3 linked regions of the Oryzias latipes genome follow. The protein of the gene in region 3 interacts with the protein of the main gene of each other region in a biochemical or structural test. Links are inferred from orthologs where the notes say so. Each region holds a gene or a part of one and is shown on either strand. Other genes may lie near its edges. The genes, in order: inpp5d, tyrosine-protein kinase ZAP-70 and shc1.

Region 1 (4,864 bases), on a different chromosome or scaffold from region 3:
CACTGCATTCAATCATCAAGACAAAGTACAGGATGAAAATGAAGCCATAGCTCCTGTACTAACAATAGAGGTGAGCAACATCCATATTCTGGCAAAGGAAAAATGCAAATTGTATTTCTGTGTACCAACCTAAAAACTGACACTCATTTGCCTGAAACGTTCAGCATCAAAGTACGTTTGACTCTGCGAGTCCTCTGCAACTCTGGACTCTGTGTAACCTGGTGCTACCATGAGCCTGCAAACACAGAGTACTTCATCATTTACAGTTCTGTAAATGAATGCAAATGCATTTAAATTCTGCTGATCTATGGTCTGATATGATTCAAAGAGAAAGACAGTGTTAGACCTTCAGAAGAATCTAACTAAACCCGTTCATCCATTCTGAACCTGCTAAATCTCTTCAGAGGTCATGGGGCTGCTGGATGTGCATGTGCAGAGTTAACATATTAATAACTCTGCACATGCACCCGTTCTATCAATGTACTCTGGGTTGCCCCCATGGTCCACAAACGTGCTTCATGGGTCAATTGGTGTCTCAAAATTGTGCCCTGCCTTTGCTCCCCTGCAGCTGGGATGGATCCAGCAGCCCCATGACCTCTGAAGAGATTTAGCAGGTTCAGAATGGATGAACAGGTTTAGTTAGGTTCTTCTGAAAGTCTAACACTGTCTTTCTCTTTGAATCATATCAGACCATAGATCAGCAGAATTTAAATGCATTTGCATTCATTTACAGACCTGTAGATTATGAAGTACTCTGTGTTTGCAGGCTCATGGTAGCACCAGGTTACACAGAGTCCAGAGTTGCAGAGGACTCGCAGAGTCAAACGTAGCATGCTGAGAATTTATTCAGAATAGATGTGATGTATCTGCTGGCACTGTCATGAATCTGTTTAAATTTGACCCGTTCTAATTAATCATCATTTAATCTTCAGTGTGAGGTGATGTTGGTCTGCCTGCCCCCTTAAAAAGGCAGGTGTTAGAATTTGGTGAGACAAAAAGATTAAAACAATAAATCCGTGAGCAAAGCTACTTGGTTTGTGCCTTTGATGCTGAACGTTTCAGGCAAATGAGTGTCAGTTTTTAGGTTGGTACACAGAAATACAATTTGCATTTTTCCTTTGCCAGAATGTGGATGTTGCTCACCTCTATTGTTAGTACAGGAGCTAAGGCTTCATTTTCATCCTGTACTCTGTCTTGATGATTGACTGCTTTTTTTTTTCATTGAAAGTTGAACATTTTGGTGGGGTTGTCACAGGACATTCGCGTGGACAAGTCTCTGATAACAATCAAGCTTCTGTGTAAAGATGAATCAAGCTGCAGGAAAGGGTTTGGACTGAGATGTGCAGAAGATTTTACCTGCCAAAAACCTTCACAAGGGTTAGAAAAATGCTACTCAGCATTCATAAAAAAATAAACTCATACATGACTGAAAACTTTTCAAGAGACAAAAGTCAGAACTTGACCAAACGCAACCACAACCAGGTGAAAACAAAGTAATGGGGGGAAATAAAAAACTAGACTAGTACTATAACCATGTCACTGACCACACGTCGGTACAGCGGTAGGGCGGTCGACCTCTGACGATTGCACTGACAAAGATTGCAGGTACGATTCACACCATGCCCGCATTTGTCATAAGTGTCCTCGGGGAAGACACTCAATTCCACCTTGCCTCTGTTGGAAGGTTGGCGCCAGTGTTCGGCATCGTGTGTGAATGGGTGAATGTTACTGTGACTGCAAAGCGCTTTTGACCTTCGAGAAAGGTCAAAAGGGGCTATACAAGTGTAAGCCATTTACCATTTTAACACTTCCACTTTCCCAGCCAAAGAATTTTCCACAGACCTTTCACTTCTGTACTTTCCTTTTAGTCTCATTTTAGCAATAGGGAAATAGGGACCAGAGTTGGAGTTATTTGTATAGAACCTTTTATACAGAGGCAAATGATGGGGCTTTATGAAACGCATTAACCTTTTGTATCATACAGTGAAAGTCATTTTAATAAAACAAAGAACAAACACACCAGGAGACACCAAAGTATTTAGTATGAACCCAACAAGAGGCTGCATTCATCTGTGTGCAGCATAGAAGTCAAAGCAGCTTAAACCGGTTTTGATTTTGAGGTACTAAATGCACAAGAGCTCAACTATCTCTGTAAATTTTAGCAGACTTAGACCATACATATTTAATTCTATGTTCCAGAGGAAAAGCTCAATGTGTGGCCAAGGCTTCCCCTGTTCTCCAAAGCAGAGCTTCTCTTTTAAAGAGGCTTGTTTTTTGTCCATATTTGGTGAAATGCTCCGCTAAACATCTATCTCACCTGCAGGTTGCACTAATGACATCATGACAAGTGACCACTCACCTGTTTTTGCCTCGTTTGAAGTCGGAGTCGCTTCACAGTTTGTCTCCAAACAAGGCAAGTTCAGGATTCAACTACAAAAAAAAAAAAAAAAAAAAAACTTCAGACACTTCAAAGCCTCGATCTGATTTTTTTCTGTTTTCTGTTCCTCAGATCCGAACACTGAAAGTCAAGGAGGAATACAAATCATGAACTGCGTTGCTGTTTTGTTGACTAAAGCAAAGACCAAGTTCTTCATTGAGTTTCATTCCAGCTGCTTGGAGAGTGAGATTACGACCTTTGACCTATTCTCTGGAGTATTCTCTTTTGCTCGACTGAAGATGACCTTGATGGTCTCCTTTGATTTCTCTGGCAGAGAGTACGAAGACTAAAGAAGGGGAGAACACGGAACAGTCTGACGGCTCCATAAAAGTCACATTTGGCAACCAAGTTGAGGTAAATCTGAGTTTTTCAGAGCAGAGAAGCATTTCTGTTTCAGCATCAGCTGTGATTTTGTTTGCCCTTTCCATCCAAGCTCACTCCCATCATCTCTGACCCCGAGTACCTCTTGGACCAGCACATCCTCATCTGCGTAAAATCAGTAGACTCCGATGAGTCGTACGGTAAGAAGTGGTTGGAAACTTTGGTTTGTGCTGAGTGAAACGTCGTTCACAATCCTGTGGATGTTTTCATTCATGAAGGAGAGGGTTGTGTGGCGCTGCGGGCTGCACAGTTCTGCTACCGAGAGTTTCAGATCACACTGACTCACCACGGAGAAAAGACGGGAACTCTGACAGGTGGCATCCAGTTACACACCTCAGAGGGAAAACCCACCGAGAAGTTATACGGTGAGGCTGGAGATCGCCTCCTGGATGAATCAATGACGGTCTTTTTCAAGGAGTCTGACAACAATCCCATTGATTTCCTTCTGCTTTCAGATTTTATCAAAGTTGAGCGGGATGATGCTGTCCCTTTCAAAGGCAAAGGAGGAGACAAGTGAGATATTTTTCCTTTGTCGTCATATAAAATGGGACATTTCATTTCTAGCAGGGACGTGTGTTTCCTTCTTTTGAGAACAGGTCTGCCATGGCACAGACACATGATATTTCAAACCCCAGCTACATGGGACTGTCTTTCAAAGTTGGGAACGTAAAAGAAAAGGGTTGGAGTTACAACATGCTCAACCGAGGGCCAGACGCTGCTGGACAAATGGGCAAAGAGTCCAAGAAGGCTGGTTTTGATTTGAGCCCCACAGCTAAGGTGTCCTCAGTGTGAGTATCTGATGAAAAGCTCTGAAAACCGAAACTCAAACGGGCACTAAACCAAATCCTACTGGCTGCTGTCTTCTCTAGGGGGGCGGATGAACCAGTGTCAGAGATGTTTGACAACCCACTCTACGGTTCAATGGTAAAAACGCACGGCCGGGGAAAGGAGCAGGGCCATTCGCAGACCGACCACCTCACCCCTGGAGATCCCCCCCAGTCGTCCTCCAAAGCAGCAGATCTTGAGCTTGAGCGCCCGCCTCTGCCCACCCCTCGAAACCGCTCCTACACCTGCTCTGAGAACAAACCCCAGCACCCGACCCCCATCAACCTGCTCCCGACACTGCAGAAGAAACCAGTGGTGCCCTCGCGTTCGGAGGGCGGGACAGCACCCAGCCGCCCTCCCCTGCCGGCAAAGTCTCGGCCAGAGCCCCAGGCCCCAAAATCCAGAGACTACAGGGACTTCTCGGACATCCACAACAAAAACAGAGCACCGGCGAGACCCGCCCAGCCTCACAAAGACAGTAAGGAAATGGCTTCTATTTGAACCTTAAGGCTAGGCTCACACCGGGCTCGAAAATCTCCTCTCAAGCGGCAACTTCCAAGCAAACGTTTATGTAAACGCGAATACACGTTTTTGGGCTTCCGTGTTCAAAACTCTCGCATTCACGTGTCACTATGCAAGTTTTTATGGGACTTTGTGGCCTCTATTTAAAAAAACATGCTTCAAGATAACTTGCACAGAAAGCTAAACCAGTTGAACTTTGACCAATCAGGGTCTCAGATTTGGTAGTGTTGTATAGGTAGTGTCCTTCTCAGAACATGGAAGTGACAACCATTTGGAAATTGACCATGGAGGGGAAATTAATAATTGCAGTTTGTGCCCACATTTCATGTATCGGAATAGAGCTGTAACAGAAAAAGCCTGGAGCGAGATTCACAAGATTTGCACCGCTATGATGTTTCACACCAACCTTTACCAACTGAGTACAGGCACTAGTATTGAGTAGCAACAGTCTAATGCGAACACCGTTTGGTAAAAGCGTGTTCAAAAACCTGCAGTCAGTTGCCTGCCGTGTACGTAGCTTGACACAACACGGTCATTAATGAAATATTCTTTATCCCATATTGCATCCAGATGCCCCTAAAATGGGTCGTCCCGGGAACTGAGAGGAGGCTGCAGTGACGGTCGTTGTGCCCCAACCAGCTTCCCGCTCTGCATTTCTGCAAACTCACAAAGGCAGAGCTTCGGCCACTTCTCACCTTG
Region 2 (4,864 bases), on a different chromosome or scaffold from region 3:
TCAATTTAATATTCTAGCACTTTTTAAAATTTAAACCACCCTTTTTCTGTCAAGAAAGTCAAACAGAACTAACTCTACTGTTTCTGTTCATTCTAAAAGTATGTTTAAGCGTTGTGCCTGCACTAACACACTCAAAAATTAAGGCAATTTAAGGATACAAGATTTTTTTAAAGAAAATAGGAACAAAGAAAGGGTCAGTTTGGACAAATTGTACCTCCCCTGTAGCTTAAGACACTTAGCTTTGATTCACTTTAATGTGTTACACACTGTCTAGTTTCAACATCATCCCTCCTGCTGCGACCAATCTGAAGCAGACTGGCACCTTTTATGGGCTCTAGTTAAACAGTCAAACAAGTTCCAGTTGTTTGCAGGCTCAACTTGTTTTGCCAAACATCCCACCTTTTACCGCAATGCAGGCCCAATGTAGGTTTGCTGACTCTGAAAGCTTACCGATGGTTGCAAGTTGTGATGTGAACGTGCAGAAACAGAATATGGGAGGAAAAAATGTAAAAAGATTTCGTATGTAGCATGTTGGATCTCTGGAGCTTTGTGTATCCATGCAGGGGGAGGCCATGGAGCAGGCCATCATCAGTCAAGCTCCTCAGCTGGAAAAGCTGATCGCCACAACAGCTCACGAGAAGATGCCTTGGTTTCACGGTAAAATCAACCGCCACGAAGGAGAGAGGCGTCTTTACTCTGGAGCACAACCAGACGGGAAGTTTCTGTAAGTTGTGACGTGTGCACCTCTGCATTGACTTCAGTGCCTGTTTTTTTTTCCAAAAGCTAAGGAAATATTTGAGACTTTGCTGCGTTTTCTTTGGTTTTGTTTCTCAGAGTCAGAGAAAGAGACGAACCCGGGACCTTTGCTCTTTCTGTAGTGTACGGGAAAACAGTTTACCACTATCAGATTGTCCAAGACAAATCAGGGAAGTTGTCTGTACCTGAAGGGACCAAGTTTGACACACTCTGGCAGGTGGGAACCCTGTTTTTCTCTACGTTTCGGCATCACTCTGCAGCATTGAATTAAAAGAATGTGGTTCCCTTTTTTTCCACAGCTGGTTGAGTATCTGAAGATGAAACCTGATGGGCTGGTAATTGTCCTTGGAGAGGCGTGCACCAACGGCAGAGTTTCTGAACGTACTGAACCATTTTCCTTAAATGTCATGATTCTCTGACATTGTTGTGACTAAACTTAATTCTAATCTTTTTTGCAACATTTCAGAAATGCCCAATGTTCCTGCAATGGTAAGTGTTGGCCTTTATGCTTCAATCAGCATGCTTGACATGCTCCCAGCTTCATTTTCCCCCCCCTTTTCTTTCAGAGGAGATCAAATGGATACACACCGCCACCTAAAGGTCAGTTGCTGACAGTACAGCAGAATGCACCAATACAGAACAAAAGATCTTATCACTTTTATGATTATTTTTGTGTTTATGGATTTATCTATGTTAATAATAATTTTAAATGTTTATTTGAGAAGTTTAGTAATAAGTGAGAATAGTTGAAAAGTAACACTATTTATAAGGCTTTGTAAAATTATTGCTGTGGCAAAACTTCTAACTTGGAGAGCCCCAGAAGGTGGAATTAAGTGTTAAGTAGTGTGATCATGTAATTTGATTCTTTCCAAATAAAATAATGAGTAGTTGTGCAGCTACAGTTTCAGCTGATGCTCTGCCCATGGACTTTGCCGGATTCAACCCCTACCACGACCCAAATGACATCAAGAAGTTTAACATCAGTAGGGATCAGCTGCTGATGGACGAGGTCGAGCTCGGCTCTGGCAACTTTGGCTCCGTCAAGAAGGGAGTCTTGATAACAAAATCGTAAGATTTAAACGTCAAGAAAAGTGAAAAGCTGGTTTGAAGTTTTGCAACCTGACACTGATTTGCTCCTGCGCCTTTTTTTTTTTTGTCTGGTCACAGAGGTCATGTAGACGTGGCCGTCAAAGTGCTGAAGAGTGAAAATGAGAAGCTGGTGAAAGATGAGATGATGAGAGAGGCAGAGATCATGCACCAGCTGAGTAACCCCTTCATCGTCCGCATGCTGGGCCTGTGCCAAGGCGACAATCTGATGCTCGTCATGGAGATGGCCGCTGCTGGTCCTCTCAATAAGTTTCTCTCTACCAAGAAGTGAGTAAATGTTCAGGATGACATCTGATGGTGGAGTTTGCTGTTCAGAACAGTTCGTAAAAAAGGTATATTTCACACTGAATCTTTATCCTCCCCCATTTGGGTGGATCAACAAACTACTTAAAAAATAAAGACAAAACTACATTGAAATCCATCTATCCATTTGGGAAGAAGCCAGAGATCCCAGAGAAAACGCACACGTGCACAGGAACAACATGCAACCTCCACGCAGGATTTGACCCAAAGCCTTCTCACTGTGAGACGAGGGAGATAACCACTGTACCACAATGCAGCCCTACCTTAAAATGTATCAATGAATTCAAAGTTTTCTAACTTTTAAATTGTTTTTCAATTATTCCGTTGGTTTGCTTGAACACCTGAATCTGGATGCTCAATCCTAACCACAAACCAATCAAACCTGATGTTAAGTAACCTTTTTTTCTTGGATGGCAACAGCTTAATGTGGAACATACAAATAAATGCACCTGTGTGGGGCTTGTTGCATTGCTCATCTCTCCATCCAACATCTCAAATGTCATTTCTTTGTAGTCACTGTGTAATTTTGAGGAAAAAAAGCATTTCTGCATCGATGAGCACAGGGGATATTGGAACTTAAGCACATATGAAAATATGTAGATTGATTTTTAGCTCCTAAGAAGCACAATATAGTGTTACATTACTCATAATTTGCTTTTTGCTTTTTTTTTTTTGCATTGCTTTTAATACGAAAGTGACAAAAATAGACAAATGCAAACATTCAAAAAGTAGTTTTCACCTCACATACTTACTTTTTTCACTTGGCATGGATGTTTCTGTTTTGTCCCCACAGAGATGTTATAACCGTGGAGAACATTGTGAACTTACTGCACCAAGTGTCGATGGGGATGAAGTATCTGGAAGAGAAGAATTTTGTTCACAGAGATTTGGCTGCTCGAAACGTCCTGCTGGTTAACCAACAATTTGCCAAGATCAGTGACTTTGGGCTCTCCAAAGCCTTGGGAGCAGATGACAACTATTACAAAGTATTCATGATGTAGCTGCTTTTTTTTTATCATTATTGTGCTAAAACACGTAAACATACTGCTCAAAAATGTAAAAGTCTAAATTAATTTGTATTTCTAGATACAAAGCATGCAATACAGCGATAATGTTTATGTTAGTCAGTATTTTTTAGTCATTAAAAACTGCCATCAATTTTGTTTCTCTGTGTTTAAACGAAAAAAAAAACTGAGGTTAGCACCCATTTTTAACAATAACTAAATATATATTTGTTAGCTTTCCCCCACAGTTTTCAGTGTGTGCTTGTCCTATACGTTACTGTTATTATTAACCCAAATAAATACGACCATCAATAAGAAAAACGAGGAAATAAAAAGTTACTGAAGCACAAATAAATCCTCCATCACATCTAGGGCAGGAGCCCCTCCCCCTAAGACCCTGAACAGGGTAAAGCAGATATGTCTGGGTCTTAAATGTTAGTAAAATAAATTTAAACCAATTACAGGAACAACCTTTTTGGCTAAATACGTGTATTTTAGCCTCAGACTATCGGCAGTGACGCCTCCTCATATTGTGTGTTTACAGGCTCGAACTGCAGGCAAATGGCCACTGAAATGGTACGCTCCAGAGTGCATAAACTTCCACAAATTCTCCAGTAAAAGTGACGTGTGGAGTTTTGGCGTCACCATGTGGGAGGCCTTCACCTATGGAGGAAAACCCTACAAGGTGAGGGTGGTTCTGCAGAGCAGACCTTTAACTCTTACATCCCACCAGTGGACAGACACACTGATGCAGGAGATTTATCTCTTTTCCCCTCAACCCAGAAAATGAAAGGTCCAGAAGTGATCAGCTTCATTAAAAATGGAAACCGCATGGAGAAACCACCAGCCTGTCCAGACAGGATGTATGCAGTGATGATGGAGTGTTGGACGTACAGGTGAGAATCCCAATGTTACCTGTAAACTCATTTATCCTCTCACATGCCAAGAATGAGGCCAAGAGTTGATTAAAAAATACAATGTTTGACATAAAATAGTTTTCTATTGTGGTTTTAGCCGTAAAAAACTAAGACTGGAAACTGGAAGAACATGATGTAACGTAAGCAAACTTTGTGTCATATAACATGACCAAAAATAACCTTCTGACATTAGAAAATGAAATATACATTTGTTTTACAAAACTTTACTTTAAACAGAATACATTTTAACCCATCTAAAATTTTTATTCTATATGTTTAATTAAATGACATACATAAAAGCAAACAAATGTATTAAAAAATCTATAATAAGGTGTAGTTTAGCACATATAAAGCACGTAACAAAAATGCTTTGAAATAACACCCAATGTGAAAAGTGTATTTATTTTGATTATTAAAGTGCAGCTTTAAATACTATTCATTTTATAGTTCCAATTTATTTTATATCTGAACCTTTTACGTATTTTGTTTGATCAAGATTCCCTGCAACAAAAAGATTTTTTATGCTTTTATAACAATAAGAAAAACATGTGTAAAGTTTTCTTTTCTCAGTAAAGTGCTTTTCGTAGGGGATTGTCTTTATTTAGTTTTTCCCCCAATAGTATTTTCTTATATTTCCACACAACAAAAATCGAGAACAGATTGTAGAAATATGTTTAAGTTAAGTGTGAACTCGGTAACCAAAGGTTTCCTGCTGTTTCAAAACCCCCATGTTCAGTGAACGTCAAAGCTGCTAAAGTAGGTCAAAGTGGAGACTGT
Region 3 (4,864 bases):
TCCTGGAATATAGCCTTTGGCTTTTTTATATCATACACTTTGTGGCAGTGTCAACATTCTTCTCTCAGGTAAACAACTATAATCTGGGCTTTTTATTGAATTGAACTACGAAACAATCAGATGACAGCAGCTGGCACTGGGTTAACAACAAAGGTCAGTTCTATTTGAGCTTCTTTCGAACCCAGATGAGTGAGTTCATCTTCAGCACTGATGAGCTCTCACTTTGCTGAAGCTGGATTATGAGATCAAACCTGACAAATCAGGTTTCATTACCATCACAACGAGCCCACCAGTAGTGTTCATCAGCCAATGACCCACATTCTCCCGTGTTACATCACCACCTTGGTGCTGCAGTGTCTGTCACTGTACCAGTCAGACAACATCTCCCAGGAGGCCTACCAAGATTCAATGGTGCTCAAGGAATAAACAGAAAAAAAAGAACAACAAAAAAAAAAAAGTGAAACTTGGTGGTCATTTTTAGGGAACACACTTAAACAAAAGCAGGCTCTTTTGTTTTTAGCCATATCAGGTACCTCTGTCAGGAACCGGCTCCGCTCTGCGAGTCCAGTCTTAAAAACAAACTTTTGTTTGGTTTTTCTTTGTTTTTCTATGGGTGTCTGTAATGACCATGTCTAGCCTCTAGCCATCCCAAAACCTTAAGTTCAAAAGGCATTCAGACGGGACTCACTTGTATTTTTTGAGTGAGGTTCTGTTAAACGGGACAGCCTGGAGAACGGGCGAGCCATCGAGGGAGGGGGAGAGGGGGCGCGAGAGATCATTTGGAAAAGAAGAGAGGAAGTGGTGGCGCAAGAGAGGGCGGAGGCGCTGGAGAGACAGAGGCTGGCAGAGTACATTGTGTGGAGGAGGAGAGAGGACTTCCAGGACAAGAAAGGAGACGGAGAGAAGGGGGGAAAGAGCACCGAAAAAGGAAAAGAGGCTTCACCAGAGGTCATCTGGAAGAGGAGAGAAGACGAAGAAGGAGACGCAGGAAGGGAGAGGGCCAAAGCCATTCAGAGAGGACATGAAATCATTTGGAGGAAGAGGGAGAGAGAGTAAAACAGGACCCGATGACACATTTGAGGGTGTCATGTTCATGAAAAGTAGCTGCTGAAGAAGCTGTTGCTACTGCTGACACAAAACTCTGACGCTAGTTGAGAGCAGGAACCCTCCTCTCTTCTCCGGCAGGTACCTGCTGTATTATTGACCAGTTAAAGTTTTGGATGATGTCTGCACAGCCCTTCTTCTAATCCCTGTTTTGGCTCCTAATGGGATTTTTAAGCATTTTTTATGGGCCTCTGTCAAGCAGGATACGACTGCCAAGCGGAGCTGCATTACACATGTGCATGTCATCATTGCGGACTGGCAAGGTTTCCAGCACCTCGTGCATGTAGTCATATCGCATTCAAGTGCACAGCTTTGGTTCCGGAAAAACAGGCATTCCGAGTGACAGGAACTTGTGGGGACTCTCTAATGACAGCTTTAAAACTGGCTCTCACTCAGGGATGGTTATGTTGGAAGGAAATACTCACTGATTGTTTTACATCATGGGAGAACACCGAGAAAGAACTGTGGAGCTGAGAGTTCGTCTTCATTAGTCCTGGGAAATCAAACAAATCACAAAAGGATTGAACCAACATGAGCTGTACAAGTCTTGAATGAGACGTTTTCTTTTTGTCTGATTATCTGGGACATCCCACTTCTCTGGACCTCTTCTCATTCTGCATTCACTGTGGACAGAGTTGTAGTTGAAGCAGTTTGGTTTGGCTGCCTCACAATGACTGTAGGACGGACAATCAGATGCAGCAACATGGATGCAGCTCAAATCATGAGCAAGACGTGCAAATGGGTTTGTCTTTTCAGAGAAAAACTTTAGTTTGACAGACACTTTGATCCACTACAGCCTTGGCATCAAAAACTCTCTCTGCAGGATCAATATGGAGCTTGTGCCCAAAACTAAATACACCCACTTTCGGAGTGAGTCGCTGAGTTCAAACGATGACACCAACTCCAATCCATCGTCGTTCCCTCCTTCCAGTCCTGCCACCCCTTTGACCCCCTCCCCTGGTATACCTTCTTCTCTTTCCTCCTCGTCTCTCACTCCTATTTTGCCCCCCACCTCTCCCCGTCCGGCAGAAAACAGTCCCACCACCCTCTGCTCCTTCTTCCCAAGGATGAGTTCCCTTCGTCTGGGTGTCACTGCTACTCTTCTTCCAGGACTCAAGGCCTCAAGCAGGTCACAGCCATCTCAGCTGGCTGTGGAGTCCTCTGGGGACGATAGGAGCAACTCTAGCTCCTCCCCTCCTCTTCACCAACCTGCTCCCCTCCTAACCGCCCCCTCTCCCCCTCCCCGACCTCCTCTGCAGGACATGAACCGGCTTGGAGGGGCGTCCAGGAGGGCACGGGTGGAAGGTGGGCAGCTGGGAGGAGACGAATGGACACGGCATGGCTCCTTCGTCAACAAGCCTACCCGTGGCTGGCTCCACTCTGACAGTGTGGTCAGCACCACTGGTGTTTCTTACACTGTAACAGTAAGTACACTCTCATCAACCTCTGTCTTATGCTATGTACACACTGGGAATGTGATGCACATTCAAGAATGCGCTAAACAGGCATACTTGAATGTGCTTTTGGCATATGGAGTTCACACTGGACTGTCGCAACCCGATACTCGCGCATGTACTTGCAGTTAGAAGAAGCTTGGTGCAAAAAGGTCCCAGCAGTGCAAATCTCGCAAATCTTTGGGTTAACAACTCTATTCCCACATGTGAAAGACTTGGTATCACATAATTCCGACCCGGCACAAACGGGTCATTATTAATTTTTCCTTCATGATACATTTTCAAACGGTTGGCCTCTGAAAATTGAAAATGATGTTACCCACACACCACTACCAAATCCGAGTCCTCAAAGTTCAATTGGTTTAACTTTCATTTAATGAACGTGGAGCCCGAAAACGGACTTAAAAACTGAATAGCTATGCGTGAACATGAAAGTTTTTTTAAGCCTTAAATGAGAATATACGCACATTTAAATGGATTGAAAGGGGCAGCTTGAACGCGTGTTTCCGAGCCCGATTTGAACGTACAGACAGACACTGTCCCTCTTTCCAATCTGGAGTGTAGAGGAAAATAACTTTTTCTGTCTTGCGTGCCGGAAATGTCTAATGTGAACGAGTTGCTTTCCTGTTTCCTGAGCAGTACATGGGTTGTGTAGAGGTGCTACAGTCAATGCGGGCGCTGGACTTCAACACCAGAACACAAGTCACCAGGTGAGACTTTTCACTGGCCTCTGCTGGCTTTCGTCTTTATTTATCACAGGTCATGAGGGGATAACGTGTCTCAAGGTGTTGGGTCTGTAAATTCACTATTATATTAGTCATGTTCTCTATTCTGCTTCCTCTCCATTTACCTACTTTTTTTGTGCTATTTTTTCACTGGTCATATATGGGTGTGTTTTTTTTATACAGCCCTTCTGTTTTCTTTAGAACTTAAATTAGAAAGTGCTGCAGTCCCAGTGGTTTCCTTTTGGTTTCTGCAGAAATGTTTGTGTCTGTGGCAAAGAGGAGTAAAAACAGCACAGACTGGGAGTTCTAAACCCCAGCTGCCAGCTCTCGTTTTATGTACACAAATGTGTGAGCAGGAAGGTGTTGAGAAATATTGCATAATTCCCTAATAGTTGTGTTTTTCTTGTTTCAGGGAAGCTATCGCTGTGGTGTGTGAGGCAGTACCCGGAGCCAAAGGCGCCCGCCGAAGAAAGGTTCATACTACACACATCAACACAACCCTACAGGCCATTATTTATTTATAACGCAGAAGTGGACAGCAGTGGAAATTGGTTTTTTTTCTGGCTAAGACCTCGATTTACCTCGATTGTCTATTTTATGGTCAGTTGGCCAGTCAGTCACATGCTATCTCGTAAACACACACACACACATTTTTGCATTTGGGCAGCCAGCCCAAAACTAAAAATGATTTCCAATCCTAAAGCAAACAATACGCTGACTGTCCAAACCAATGCTTGTTTTCCATGGAACTGTACCAATGGCTTCCCTGGAATTCTTTTTGTTTTTGCGTAAGCGCACAAAGAGCTTGATTTAAGATAATTGTGCACTTGTGTGGTGAGTGAGCCACTTGCAGGTAATTACCAATCACTATAGGTCTCTTTTCTCCCTCTCCCGTGCCACAGGGGAGGCTTGTGGGGAGCCAGTGTCCGGCTTAAGAAGCACTATGGATTAGCAAACGCAGCCTCCAAACGCTGTGTCTGTAAAACTAAAAGCATCCACCCAAACAGTCTATAAAGCTGTTCGGTCTGCTTGCAAAACTGGGTTTGACCAGTGAATTACTGGCAGTCTACTATTCCAGACAAAAAAATGCTAAAATATGATGACTGCAATAGATAAAACTAGTCACTTCTGCCTTTTTTTTAGGTTACTGTGGCTAAGCATGAGCTGCTTTTCTCAGCATTTTCCAAATATTCTGGAGCAAATTTGGATGAAAGCTGTGAGAACAGGAGGTGGATTGGAGTTGATGAGTTGGCACAATTGTTTTGGCCTGGCCCATGTGATATTCATTGTCAAGCCTAAATTATGTGATCTGGCCTCCCTCACAGGCGTCATTGGCTTTAGAGACCAGATCATTCTTTGGAGTTGCAGTAACCGTCTCACTCCCACACTCAAAAGCATTTACTCATTTATTTCCACAGATATGTATCCAGCTCTCATTCACTCTTATTAATGTTAGTTTCACCAAATAAAATCAGCTTGTGATTTAGTAAAGTTCTTTCTTGCTTTGTGTTGCTCTTCTTCACAGCCTTCCTCTCGGTGTCTCACATCAATTCTGGGAAAGAGTAACTTGCAGTTTGCAGG

Evidence for each region.
Region 1: the proteins of shc1 (region 3) and inpp5d form a complex in vitro, tested with the Homo sapiens proteins (2 studies listed by BioGRID and IntAct, with this or other methods). The link is inferred for Oryzias latipes from reciprocal best matches to the Homo sapiens genes SHC1 and INPP5D.
Region 2: of the proteins of shc1 (region 3) and tyrosine-protein kinase ZAP-70, one has a biochemical effect on the other in vitro, tested with the Homo sapiens proteins (2 studies listed by BioGRID, with this or other methods). The link is inferred for Oryzias latipes from reciprocal best matches to the Homo sapiens genes SHC1 and ZAP70.

Annotation. Positions count from the first base shown.
Region 1 is NC_019862.2:27,130,214-27,135,077, forward strand, and holds part of inpp5d (phosphatidylinositol 3,4,5-trisphosphate 5-phosphatase 1), read left to right. Parts: intron 1-2,323; coding exon 2,324-2,413; intron 2,414-2,509; coding exon 2,510-2,620; intron 2,621-2,711; coding exon 2,712-2,791; intron 2,792-2,870; coding exon 2,871-2,958; intron 2,959-3,036; coding exon 3,037-3,183; intron 3,184-3,273; coding exon 3,274-3,331; intron 3,332-3,414; coding exon 3,415-3,606; intron 3,607-3,687; coding exon 3,688-4,121; intron 4,122-4,735; coding exon 4,736-4,767; 3' UTR 4,768-4,864. UniProt on the Homo sapiens protein: Phosphatidylinositol (PtdIns) phosphatase that specifically hydrolyzes the 5-phosphate of phosphatidylinositol-3,4,5-trisphosphate (PtdIns(3,4,5)P3) to produce PtdIns(3,4)P2, thereby negatively regulating the PI3K (phosphoinositide 3-kinase) pathways.
Region 2 is NC_019862.2:14,802,933-14,807,796, reverse strand, and holds part of tyrosine-protein kinase ZAP-70, read left to right. Parts: intron 1-563; coding exon 564-724; intron 725-834; coding exon 835-973; intron 974-1,055; coding exon 1,056-1,137; intron 1,138-1,222; coding exon 1,223-1,245; intron 1,246-1,322; coding exon 1,323-1,356; intron 1,357-1,652; coding exon 1,653-1,824; intron 1,825-1,923; coding exon 1,924-2,130; intron 2,131-2,959; coding exon 2,960-3,152; exon of another isoform or gene 3,153-3,163; intron 3,164-3,714; coding exon 3,715-3,855; intron 3,856-3,953; coding exon 3,954-4,066; intron 4,067-4,864. UniProt on the Homo sapiens protein: Tyrosine kinase that plays an essential role in regulation of the adaptive immune response. Regulates motility, adhesion and cytokine expression of mature T-cells, as well as thymocyte development.
Region 3 is NC_019874.2:18,329,614-18,334,477, reverse strand, and holds part of shc1 (SHC-transforming protein 1), read left to right. Parts: 5' UTR 1-1,934; coding exon 1,935-2,528; intron 2,529-3,197; coding exon 3,198-3,268; intron 3,269-3,695; coding exon 3,696-3,756; intron 3,757-4,808; coding exon 4,809-4,864. UniProt on the Homo sapiens protein: Signaling adapter that couples activated growth factor receptors to signaling pathways. Participates in a signaling cascade initiated by activated KIT and KITLG/SCF.